2 linked regions of the Callithrix jacchus genome follow. The protein of the gene in region 1 interacts with the protein of each later gene in a pairwise test. Links are inferred from orthologs where the notes say so. Each region holds a gene or a part of one and is shown in the gene's direction. Other genes may lie near its edges.

Region 1 (6,284 bases):
CTTTACTCTCCCAGGAAAAGTTAATGCGTGTGTGTGTGTGTGTGTGTGTGTGTGTGTGTGTGTGTGATAGAGAGGGAGAGGGGAGGGAGAGAGGAAGAAAGAGAGAGAAGTCAGGATATGGATGGAGGGGGGCATTCCAGGTAGACAGAACAGCCAATGCAAAGGAGAAAGTTTGGTGATTGAGGGATTAAGAGAAGCCCGTTCCTGGAATATAGTGAGAGTGGCGAGAGATGAGTCTCTAGACTTAGTGCGCCAGGGCTGAGAGCAGGAGGATGTCCAGCATTCTGGCTTTTATTCTAAATATTGTAAGAAGGTTTTGAGAGGCTTCATTACGTTCTATTTAATTCTCTTGCTCTAAGACCCTGTTTCTCTTCGCTGCTACACTGCGAATTTTCCTTGAGGGCAGCACCATTCCTTCAAATCTGCATCCCTTACTCTGTCACAGGGTGGGTGATTTCTAAATGTACAGTGCATAGACACTCAGAAGGGAGAAAATGTTAATGAGTTGGTTTTATTTTCAAACCGAAGCTAGAAGCTGCTTATAACCCTTGTCATTTTTTTCCAGCTCATATTTTAATATCCTTCCACCTTATTGGAGGTTTGGCAGACAGAGTTTATGGAAGAAGCATATTTTCATATATTGTAGTTTATGTTTATTATATGTATATATTCTCATTATTTTATGTGCAAAGAGTGTTTCCTATGTGATGCTCTTTAGGGAGATAATGTGCAAAGAGATCTTCTATTTCATTTTTACTAACACCACCGCAGTTTGCTAAATCATCACCATCAAACCACACTTTAATTTAATCTACTTTATTGCCTTCCAAAGCATTTCCTATGAGCAAGATTACATTCCCCGGGTTTTAAAAATAACTGACTCTAAAACATGCAAGTGAAATTAAGCAAATGTTTTGTCTTCTTCAGCCTTTTTGTGTCTGTCGTCATGTGTGAATAATGGAACTTACTGACTTGGGGTGAGGAGAAGAGGAACATACCAAAGGGGATGTAAAACCACGTGCTCTCCTGAGTAGTTCATGGATTTGGAATTAGATGAATCTGGCACTAAAATTTGGCTCTACTGCTATTTAACTGTGAGACCTTGGGTAAATTACTTAATATTTCAAAGCTTCGATTTCTGCATTTGTAAGTCGAGAATAATTGTACCTAGTTCATGTTGTGGCTTTAATGCCCATTTTAAAAAAGAAAATACATATAGTGCTTCGCAATGTTCTGGTACATACTAGGAGCTAAAGAAACAACAGCTGTTGTTAGTAGTTAAAATGCTACATTTCATCATGTGGTTTCAGTCAAGTCATTGAAGTTTCTTTTTTTTGTTTCTTTTGAGAGAAGTCTCACCCTGTCGTCTCAGCTGGAGTGCAGTGGCACTATTTTGCCTCACTGCGACCCCCACCTCCCAAGATCAGGCGCTTCTCATGCCTCAACTACCAGAGCAGCTGGGATTACAGGCACACACCACCACACCCAGCTAATTTTTGGATTTTTTTTAGTGGAGATGGGATTTCACCGTGTTGGCCAGGCTAGTCTTGAACTTCTGATCTCAAGTGATCTGCCCACCTTGGCCTCCCAAAGTGCTAGGATTATAGGCATGAGCCACCGCATCTGACCAAGTTATCGAACTTTCTGTGCCTCTACATCCTCATCTCTAAAAGGGGGATTTTGATGGCAATCTCCCTAATAGGTTTGCTGTGTGGGTCAAATGGATCCACAAAGCACTTAGGAAGTACCTGGCATATGATAAATCTTCAGAAAACATTGGCCTCTATTATTACTAATCTCAGTTATTATCATGTATAGGTGTTTCTTGCTTTCAAATACCAAGTAAAAGTAAATTTTCAAACTACATAAAGGCTAAGTTTTGAATTGCACAAGCAAAAATCAGTATTGGCATTACTGATTCTCATTGTGATATACCTGCAAGTGAGAAATATTTTTAATTTCTGATTTGTGTTAACAATTGCCTTTGTTGTGGCAACTGTAATATTCTGGGGTCTTCATTGCCACTTAGTGTGGTTGATCCTTTGAAAGGTGCCCAGTGACTCAAGTGACAAAAATGACCTTAATTAAACAGAATTGCCAACACCGGTGTTCAGCTAAGACCAAGAATAATTAAAGCCCTTTCTTTAACCAAAGCCTCTCCTTATTATGCTGTCCAGGACTTCAATAGATGGTCCAATCATGTTTGCTAATCTTCCTGGCTTACCAAGAGCCCACCTGCCTCCCACACTCACTGCCAGGTCATCTCCTGCTTCGTGATGAACAAGGAAAGAAAAGAGAAATTTGCCAAAAAGGTAGCTTGGCAGCCTCATGTCCAGCTCTGGGTATTGTACCATGGTGAGGATGGCCACACTGAGCTAATGTAGCTAACACTGGCTCCACCTTCAACAGAGACTACTTGCTCATGCGCCAGAAATGCTTTTTTAAGAACAGCTTTTTGGAGGTAGAATTGATATGCAATGAATTGTACATTTTTAAAGTCCACATTTTGAGACATCTTGACTCAAATTTATGTGTATACCTTATCAAACTGTTACCACAATCAAGGTTACGAAACATCCATCACTTTCAAAACATTCCTTGGCCCTTCATCATCCTGCCCTCCCACCCCTTCCTCCTACTCTCTATCCCCACCCCATTCTCACAATACTGACTGCTTTCTGTTTCCTCACGTGTTTTCATTCTCCACAATTTATCTATATATTCATACATGTACTATTTTTTGTCTGGCATATTTGAGTTTGCATAATTATTTTTTAAGGAAAATTTGAAGCCACACTGCCTACCTACAGAGTTGGGCCCTTAGACTACTTCTAGTATTAGCCACCAATCATTGGGTTGGTGAACTACTCATAGGGATTCCAAGTGCGCATCTCCTTAAATTCTCACAACTCTCTTCTTTAATGCCATTTCATGGACCAGAAAACTGGCCTGAAGTCACACAATTAGGAGATACTCTAATGCCAGCTGATCTGACTTAGAGCATGTGTTCTTTCCACCTGACTGGTGTCTGGAAGCAGTTCAGGATCTGGTTAGGAGCCTGACTCTGATTTCAGAGAGAACTGGGTTCAGCCCTCAACTGCAGCACCTCCAGTGATGACAGCTTGCAGAAGCTACTTAATTGTTTCCCAGCTTAGCTTTCCTCACTGTAAAACAGGAATATGATGGGAAAAGGCCAGCATATTCTTAAAATAATAAGAGTGCATGTAAGTGCTCAGCCTTGTATATCTGAAGTATTCCATGAAAGTTATGTATCTTTATTGTTAATGCACTTTGCTTCCTCAATAAATATATGTTTAGTGAGGGCGGAATAAGTGCCCTTTAGTATTGAATGGACTCCCTTGTGTTCAGGAGGGTGAAAGCAAGAGAAAGAGGACAGGAAGTCATATTGAACCTTATGTTGCTGTTTTAACCCAGTGGATCACTGCCTGACTTCTGCTAGATTCCATGTTTGATGGATGCATGATGGATGAATGAAGGAATCAGAGTGCTGTGTCAACAGTAGCACCACCATGATTCAGAGAGATAGAGAAGCCCAAATCAGACAGGGGTATATTATATCCACACGTCCTATTGAAGGTAGAACTTGGAAACTCATTTTCTGTTTGTTAATCATTTTCTATTCTTTACCCTAAGACCCAAGACTCAAAGTTATTACGCTTTCTGCTGTTACTAATTAGCATATATAAAATAGGCACGTGGATGAGAATGAGCCTCTTGTCCCCCCATCTGTCTATAAGCAAAACCTCAGGACACTGTGTTGATTGCATTCTAGTGTTTGGTTGCCGGGGCCCTCAATGGTTGTGGCTGTGTTCCATGGTTTCCTGAGGACTGGCTGGAACTGTGTTTCTACGTGCCTCCCATGGAACCAGGATGTCTGCATGGCACACAACCGTCAGGAGCACTCAGGTTCGTGGGTTTCAGATAGAAGGAGAATTTTAATTTGTCACTGAGAGTTGAGGATGTGCAAAGGGGGCTGACTGAGTAAAAGAATTGTATGCACCTCAGGTGTTAATGGAGTTTGTTTCTTAACCAAGACTCAGAGGGAAAGGGCTTTTCCATGTGCTACAGCATGTTAGAGGAAGAACCATATCTGGCTCACACGGTGTGGGACTGCTCTTTTCTTTTTCAGCAGTCATCAGAGTCTTTTATTTATCACTGTCTTTGAAGCATCAGGAGAAGCATCTAATAATAAAGTATTTAGGACTTAGTGAGTGCTTACCACATGCCAACGGCTGTTCTCAGCACCATACATACATGAAGTCACTCAGGCCTCACTAAACAGGAGCATCCATTAAAGACAGGTAGACTTGTCCCAAACTCGGGTATGTGGCCAGCTCTGAGAAGCGTTTCAACGTTTGTTGGCAGAAAACTTCAAAGGGAAGAAAAAAGAAAAAAACACCACAGGTCTGTCTCTCTGGGGGTGGGATTGAGCAATTTATTCTTAACAAGCCCTCCAGATGATTCTAATGCCCACTCAAGTTTGAGAACCACTTCTCTAAAGTAACCTCTCTTTGGGCCCTGCTTCTGTTCCCAGATATTGAGCTGGGATAAACACGGATTTGAACACTGTGCCTCCAGCGCCTAGCACTGCCCATAACACTGAATTCTGTTCAGTCCTTCCTAGCACAGGATAACCCTCTGAACTAAGAATCACTATTATAGCCATTTTACAGATAAGGAAATGGAGGCATAGGGAGGTTAAGTAACTTGGCCAAGGCCGTATCCTAATAACTGCTGGAACCAGGATCTGAACCAGAGTCTCGCTTAAGTGACCACGTTCTTACTCTACACTGTGGTGTTTCTCATTCTAATGGAATTTGTTTGTGAAAATTCATTAATTACCTAATTAATTAAAAGTGGAAATTTGGAAATATGTCTAAAAACCAATAGAGAAGTTGGTTGGTGCTTTAGAAAATACATATGCGGTGGATGAACCTGGAAGATATTATGTAAGAGAAATAAGCCAGGCAGAAGGAGGCAAGTACTGCATGACTTCACTTCTATGTGGGATCTAAGGAAGTCACACTCATAGAGCAGAGAGCAGAGTGGCGGTTACCAGGGACTGGGGGTGGTGGTGGAGAAGACTGGGGAGATGTTGATCAAAGGGCACAAAATTTCACTTAGACACTAGGAAGAGGATTAAGACATCTCTTTTACAACATGGTGACTGTAGTTAACAACACTGTGTACTTGCAAATTGTTAAGAGTATAGTAGAGTTTAAGTGTTCTTGCCACACACACACACACAAAAGATAAATACGTGAGGTAATGCATGTTGTTTAGCTTGGTTTAGCCATTTCACAATGTGTACATATTTCAAAACATATTGTACATTGTAAATCTGTATACCTTTTATCTGTTGATTAAAATTTTTAAAAATTTAAAAAAGTTCTAGAATTAGATTGTAGCGATGGTTCTACAACCTTATAAGCATACTAAGAACCACTGAATTGTACGCTTTAAAATGGTAAATTTTATGATATGTGAATTAAAACCTCAATTTAAAAAAAATACACATGATAATGAAATTGTGGGATTTTCATCAAGGGAGGACTGACCCACCCACCTACATGTCATCGATGTTGCTTTGTCTCTTGCTGGAGGAGGATGGGAAGGTTCAGTGCAGGTAGAGAACACAGAAGGGAGATTGTAGTACTATAGTAAGAAAGAACAGAGTAAGGATGTTGCTGATGGGGATGGTGATGCTAACAGCAGTTCACCCTTGATTGAACCCTTACAGTGCTCCTTTCACTGTTCTCAATGCTTTCCTTGTGTTAACTCAATTAACACTTTCATGGTCCAGTAACCTGAGGCCTGGGAAGGTTGAGTCATTTACCCAAAGGCATACATCTAGTAAGTGGAAGGGGGGGATTTGAAACCTCATATATAGGTGCAGTGCTTTTATTTTAGCCCAACATTCTTTTTTCTTTTTTTTTCTTTTGAGATGTGGAGTCTCACTTGCTGTCACTCAGGCTGGAGTGCGGAGCCACTAACTTGGCTCACTGCAGCCTCTGCCTTTTGGGTTCAAGTGATTCTCCTGCCTCAGCCTCCCAAGTAGCTGGGACTACAGGCGCCCACCACCATGCCTGGCTAATTTTTGTATGTTTAGTAGAGACGGGGTTTCACCATGTTGGCCAGGCTGGTCTCCAACTCCTGACCTCAAGTGATCCACCTGCCTCAGCCTCCCAAAGTACTGGGATTAAGGCATGAGTCACCACACCCAACTTTAGCTACAAGACTCTTAATCACTGTACTGTGCTCTT
Region 2 (6,419 bases), on another chromosome or scaffold:
TCAAAAAAAAAACTCCTGATCTCAGGTGATCCACCTGCCTCGGCCTCCCAAAGTGCTGGGATTACAGGCGTGAGCCACCATGCCTGGCCCAAGAATCCCTCTTATAATGAAACTTTTTAATTTGATTTTTATTTTTTCTTAAGTCCCCATTATGCCTGAGAATGACACTTATTTTTTCTGACAATTTTGGGACTTGTGACTTCCCAACTTGCGTCTCCTATGGTCTGGAGCTTTTACTTTTTGGGTTGTCTCTCTATGTTGGGGTGCTTTGGAACGTCTTCTCCTTTCTCACTGTTGGGGAAAACTCTCCATGGCCGTGTAGGTGGATGGCTTCAACCCTAGCTCCACAACAGCTGTGAGCTTTCCAGTTACACTCCCTGGGCGCCTTGGTTTACTTGTTATTATCACTACTTTTAGAGATAAGGTCTTGCTCTGTTGGTCAGGCTGGAGTGCAGTGGTGGGATCATAATTCACTGCAGCCTCAAATGGGGCTCAAGTGATCCTCCTGCCTCATCCTGCCAGGTAGCTGGGACTACAGGTGTGCACCACCATACCCAGCTAACTTTTAAATATATTTTTTTGTAGAGACAGGATCTTGCTGTGTTGTGTTGGGATTACAGGCATGAACCACCATGCTTGGCGTTCAATTTACTTATTCTCTGAGAATGGTGACAGTCCCACATGGATTCTCCTTGGGATTAAGAGGGTACCTTAAGGCCAGGCACAGTGGCTCACGACTGTAATCCCAGTACTTTGGGAGGCCAAGGCAGGTGGATCACCTGAGGTCGGGAGTTTGAGACCAGCCTGGCCAACATGGTGAAACCCCGCTTCTATTAAAAAGACAAAAATTAGCCGGGCGTGGCACTTGCCTGCAGTTTCAGATATTTGGGAGACTGAGGCAGGGGAATCACTTGAACTGAGGAGGCAGAGGTTGCACTGAGCCAAGAGTATGCCACTGCACTCCAGCCTGGGCAACAGAATGAGAGTCCATCTAAACAAAAAAAAAAAAGAGGCCACCTTGATACCACATTTTGCAGGGATGGGGCATTCGAGTTAGGGCCTGGTCAGAAGTTGGCCCTAAGTCACACTGCACTTCTCTCTGTTCATCCTCATAGGCCCGTTCCTCCCGCCTTCAGCCCTGCTGCCAGACCCAGACTTCTTCTCTGGCACCGTGTCCCTGCCCGGCCTGGAGCCCCCTGGTGGGCCTGACCTCTTGGACGATGGCTTTGCCTACGACCCCACAGCCCCCCCACTCTTGACCATGCTGGACCTGCTGCCCCCCGCGCCGCCACACGCCAGCGCTGTTGTGTGCAGTGGGGGTGCTGGGGCTGTGGTTGGGGAGCCCCCCGGCCCTGAGCCGCTGACACTGGACTCCTACCAGGGCCTGGGCCCCGGGGACGGAGGCACCGCCAGCCTAGTGGGCAGCAACATGTTCCCCAATCAGTACCGTGAGGCAGCCTTTGGGGGCGGCCTCCTGTCCCCTGGGCCTGAAGCCACGTAGCCCCGTGGTGCCAGAGGAGGGGCACTGGGTGGGGAGGGAGGTGGAGGAGCTGTGCAATCCCAACCAGAATGTCCAGCATCCCCATCCCCTTGGCCCACCCTTGGGTTGGTCTTCCTCATGCTTCTGAAGCGGACATATTCAGCCTTGGCGAGAAGCTCCGTTGCACAGGTTTCCCCTTGAGCCCACTTTACAGATGAGGAAACTGAGTCCGGAAAGGGTATGCTCCCGTGCACTAGCTTGTTACAGCTGCCTCTGCCCCCACATGTGGGGGCACCTTCTCCAGTCGGTTTCGGAAAAGACTACATATGAGAGGAGGGGGCAGATCCATGGCCCTCCCTCCCCAGACTTGAAGGGGTGGGGGTGGGGTAGGTTGTTAGAGTCTTTCCAATAAAGATGAGTTTTTGAGCCTCGGGGGTCTCGTCTGTTCTGCGCTTGGGAAATGCCCCAGTCCTTTACACAGCAAAGAAAGCCTTCAGCCTGGGGGCTTACGCCTGTAATCCCAGTACTTTAGGAGGCAAGGCGGGAGGATCGCTTGAGACCAGCCTGGGCAACATGACGAAACCCAGTTTCAACAAAAAATACAAAAATTAGCCGGGCTGAGTGGTGCCCAGCTACTCCGGAGGCTGAGGTAGGAGGATGGCTTAAGCCCGGGAGGTGGAAGTTGCAGTGAGCCCAGACCGCACCACTGCACTCCAGCCTGGGTGGCAATGCGAGGCCCTGTCTCAAAAAATAAACAAAATTTTAAAAAATAGCGAAAATACCCGAGCTCCACCCTTCGTTCTCCCACTTCAACTTCCTCTGGACTCCGCCCCTCTCGACTCTAGGACCCGCCCCTCACGTCGGCGGAAGTGCGCTACGCGGCGGTCCACCTCCGCCCCCTCCTCCTACCGCAGCATTCCATTTCCGTTTCCGGTGCGGGCGGCGCGCTAGCGCAGCGGTGGGAGGCTGCTACCAGCCGGTGAGTGCGGGCGGCGGGCTCGACCTTCCGGCTTTCGGGCAGGCGTCAGCCCAGCTTCTTCCTTTCCTCGGGCTCTCCCCATGCTGCTGTAGGCCTCTGCTGCGTCCCGGCCCCGAGATGGCTTGTTCCTCACCCCCTTCGGCCTGACGGGCCGAAGGCCGCGCCCTTGCCCCAGAAGTCGCCGCGTTTCTCTTGGCTTTCGGCCCAGCAGCCTGTCACAGGCCCGCCCCCTTGTCAAAAAAAAAAAACAAAAACAAACAAAAACCTAGCCCAAATCCTCCGGCCGCGACGCGATCTACAAGCCCGGTGCAAACCCTTGATCTCTTCCTCGCCCGCAAGCCCTGCCCCCAAGCTCAGCCCACGCCCTCCCGCCAGCCAGCTCCGCCTCTCTCAGGCTTTACCCTCTTTTTCCCTGGATACTGTCTCCACCACGACATCTAGATCCCCTCTTTAGACCTCACCTTCACTCTGGTCTCCTTGCAACACCCCCTCCCCGTGTTCCCACTCCCTCTAGCATCTTCATCTTCCGCCACACCCTTCACCCGTCCTCGACCTCCCCCTTCCTACAACTGCACTTGCTCCCTTAAAGACTTTCTCCGATTTCTTCTATCTGCCTTCATCCTTATCCTCCTCATCTAGCATGGGGCAGCCTTTTCAGCTCTTCTCTTTCCCTTGAGATCCAGCCTCAGGTGCTCAAGGTTTGCCTTCTGACTTTACTTCAAACACTACTCATGTTTCAAAACCTTCCATCTCTGACTCCAGCACGTGGAGTCTAGGACACCCCTTTCCCAGGGATGCTCACCTCAGAATCACCTGAGGGTTTTTCAGATTGCCCAAGCTGCCAGATGGAAGTTGTTAGAGGTGGACTTGAACATCTGGCACACCGTTCTGAAGCCATACTTCTGCTCCCTGAACCTAAGAGATGTGTTGTTTGAGATTGACTCTGTCACCAACCTTTTAGATGACTTTGATTCTGCCCATATAGTTTTTACAGCCTATCTGACGCTCCTGGTACCTTTCTTTATCCCTCAGGTTGAGGCCCCACGCTTGGCCTCACCACAATGTGGCACGAGGCTAGGAAGCATGAGCGGAAGCTTCGAGGTATGATGGTCGATTACAAGAAGCGGGCAGAGCGGAGACGGGAGTATTATGAAAAGATCGTGAGTAACTGGCCTTTCGTCTCTGGTGTGGGACCCTGGGTTGGGGGCTGAAGCTGGTCATCCTGATAAAATCTGGACTTGGAAGTATGCCAGGACAAGAGCTTCATTTCCTCAGGAGTATATTCGTTAATTGTTTCTTGAGCGTAATCATCGATAAGATCCCAAGGGCTTCTGTGTGTCGTAGCATACTGTGTCATTTGGTCAGTGCCAATCAGGTGTTAGCAAGAAGAAGGGAAATCTCTGTAATGCTCAGAGCAGTCCTGACGTTAGATTGGCCACCTCCAGAATGTTGTCTGTTTTGCTTATTGCTGGCTTCCCATGCCCGGAAGTATTTGAGATTTGGCTTGGCACACAACAGGAGTGAGTATTAAGTTGGCTGGGTGTGGTGGCTCACACCGGTAATCCTGGCGCTTTGGGAGGCTGAGGTGGGTGGATCACCTGAGGTCGCAAGTTTGAGATCAGCCTGGCCAAAATGGTGAAACCCCGTCTCTACTAAAGATAGAACAATTAGCCAGGCGTGGTGCTGTGTGCGTGTAATCCCAGCTACTTGGGTGGCTGAGGCAGGAGAATTGCTTGAACCTGGGAGGAAGAGACTGCAGTGCGTGGAGATTGTGCCACTGCACTCTAGCCTGGGTGACAGAGCAAGATGGTCTCCAAAAAAAAAAGGGGGAGTGAATACAAAATGAAATCTGACCACTTCTGTCTGCTGTTTGATGCTTCACTTGCTTTTGGGGAGAAGACCAAAGTATCCCTGGTCTAAAAGACTCTTGTGGTCTCACCACTCAGCTTCATCCTTGGACAGCTCCACTGGCCTTCTGTTTCTGCCACCACAGGGCTTTGGCCTGAAATGCCGCCTTCTCACCTGTTTAACTCCTGTGTATCCTAGGCTGGGCTTGGTGGCTCAAGCCTGTAATCCCAGCACTTTGGGAGGCCGAGGCAGGTGGATCCACGAGGTCAGGAGTTCAAGACCAACCTGGCCAACATGGCGAAACCCTGTCTCTGCTAAAAATACAAAAAACTTCGCTGGGCGTGGTGGCACATGCCAGTAATCCCACCTATTCAGGAGGCTGAGGCAGGAGAATCACTTGAAACCGGAAAGTGGAGGTTACAGTGAGCCAAGATCGTGCCACTGCACTCCAGCCTGGGCAACAAGAACAAAACTCTGTCTCAAAAAAACAAGCAAACAAACAAACAAAAACCTCCGGTGTATCCTTGGTATTCCAGCTTGAAATGGCACCTGTTTACTAGCTTCAGTTCTGTTAGATGACATTTATTTAGACATTCCCCATTTACTCCTGTATTACCACCCCAGCCTCCTCCCTGGTCTGCTGGCCGCCAGTTCTGGCCCCTCCAATCTGTCCTCCCCAGAAGGGTCTGAGAGGCCTTTCAAAAGCACAAAACTGACCTTGTCCCTTCCTTGCTCAGAGTACCTTCATGGCTCCTAAGTGCCCTTGAGAGAAAGCCCAGGCTCCTCACTTTGGCCTTTGGACCCTGCATGGCTTGGCCGTTGCCCCTCCTCTAGACTCAGCGCCACCCCACACTCTGCCTTGTTCATTTGTGAAAGTTATTTTGGCCTCCTTGCTATTATTCCGCCGACCCAGGCATGACCTGGCCACAGGACTTGTGTATGACCTCTTTCCATACCTGGTTCACTACTGCCTGTCTGTCAGATCTCAGTTGTCAGGGAAGTCTTGTTTCCCAGGCTCCGTCAAGTGTCCTTTAAAAATGCCGTCATCATTGCTCCCTTCCCCTCTGTGGAATTTAACACACTTAAGATACACATACATGGGCCGGGCACAGTGGCTGACGCCTGTAATCCTAGCATTTTTGGAGGTTGAGGCAGGATCACCTCAAGTCAAGTTTGAGACCAGCCTGGCTAACATAGTAAAACCTCATCTTTCCTAAAAATACAAAAATTAGCAGGATGTGGTGGTGGGCGCTTGTAATTCCAGCTACTCGGGAGGCTGAGGCAGGAGAATCACTTCAACCTGGGAGACAGAGGTTGCAGTGAGCTGAGATCATGCCACTGCACTCCAGCCTGGTGACAGAGCAAGACTCCATCTAAAAAAAAAAAGAAGAAGATGTACATACGTGCACAGGTTGAACATCCCTAATTTAAAAATCCAAAATGCTCCAAAATCTTTTCTTTTTTGAGACAGTCTTGCTCAGTCACCCAGGCTGGAGTGCAGTGGCACCATCTCAGCTCACCGCAACCTCCGCCTCCTGGGTTCAAGCTGTTCCCCTGCCTCACTCAGCCTCCTGAGTAGCTGGGATTGCAGACGTGTGCAACTATTCCTGACTAATGTTTGTATTTTTGATAGAGATGGGGTTCTTTCATATTGGTCAGGCTAACTCCTGACTTCAGGTGATTCGCTTTCCTCAGCCTCCCAAACTGCTGGGATTAGACGTGAGCCACCATGCCTGGCTAGCTCCAAAATCTGAAACTTTCTGCATACTGACATGATTCCCCTCCACAAGTGGAAAGTTCCACACATAAGTACTTAACACAAACTTTGTTTCATGCACAAAACTATTTAAAATATTGTATACAATTACCTTCAGGCTGTGCTTATAAAGTATAAATGAAATTGGTCTTTGGACTTGGGTACCATCCCTAAGATACCTCATTACGAATAGGCAAATATTCCAAAATCTGAAAAAATCCAGAACACTTCGGATCCCAAGCATTTTGGATAAGGGATACTTAATGTGTGTGTATGTCTGTCTGTCTGCGTGTGTATATGTGTATAATATATATATGTACAATAGACATATATACAGAGCTGGGTGTATGCATATT

Evidence for each region. The genes of interacting proteins can lie anywhere in the genome.
Region 2: the proteins of DAB1 (region 1) and CLASRP interact in a two-hybrid assay, tested with the Homo sapiens proteins (2 studies listed by BioGRID and IntAct). The link is inferred for Callithrix jacchus from reciprocal best matches to the Homo sapiens genes DAB1 and CLASRP.

The regions. Positions count from the first base shown.
Region 1 is NC_133508.1:94,280,908-94,287,191, reverse strand, and holds the start of DAB1 (disabled homolog 1), read left to right. Parts: upstream 1-2,755; 5' UTR 2,756-3,815; coding exon 3,816-3,927; intron 3,928-6,284. UniProt on the Homo sapiens protein: Signaling adapter of the reelin-mediated signaling pathway, which regulates the migration and differentiation of postmitotic neurons during brain development.
Region 2 is NC_133523.1:39,239,061-39,245,479, forward strand, and holds the start of CLASRP (CLK4-associating serine/arginine rich protein), read left to right. Parts: upstream 1-2,395; 5' UTR 2,396-2,459; intron 2,460-2,746; exon of another isoform or gene 2,747-3,157; intron 3,158-3,491; 5' UTR 3,492-3,520; coding exon 3,521-3,619; intron 3,620-6,419. Other genes in the region: transcription factor RelB, read left to right, coding at 1,116-1,501. UniProt on the Homo sapiens protein: Probably functions as an alternative splicing regulator. May regulate the mRNA splicing of genes such as CLK1. May act by regulating members of the CLK kinase family.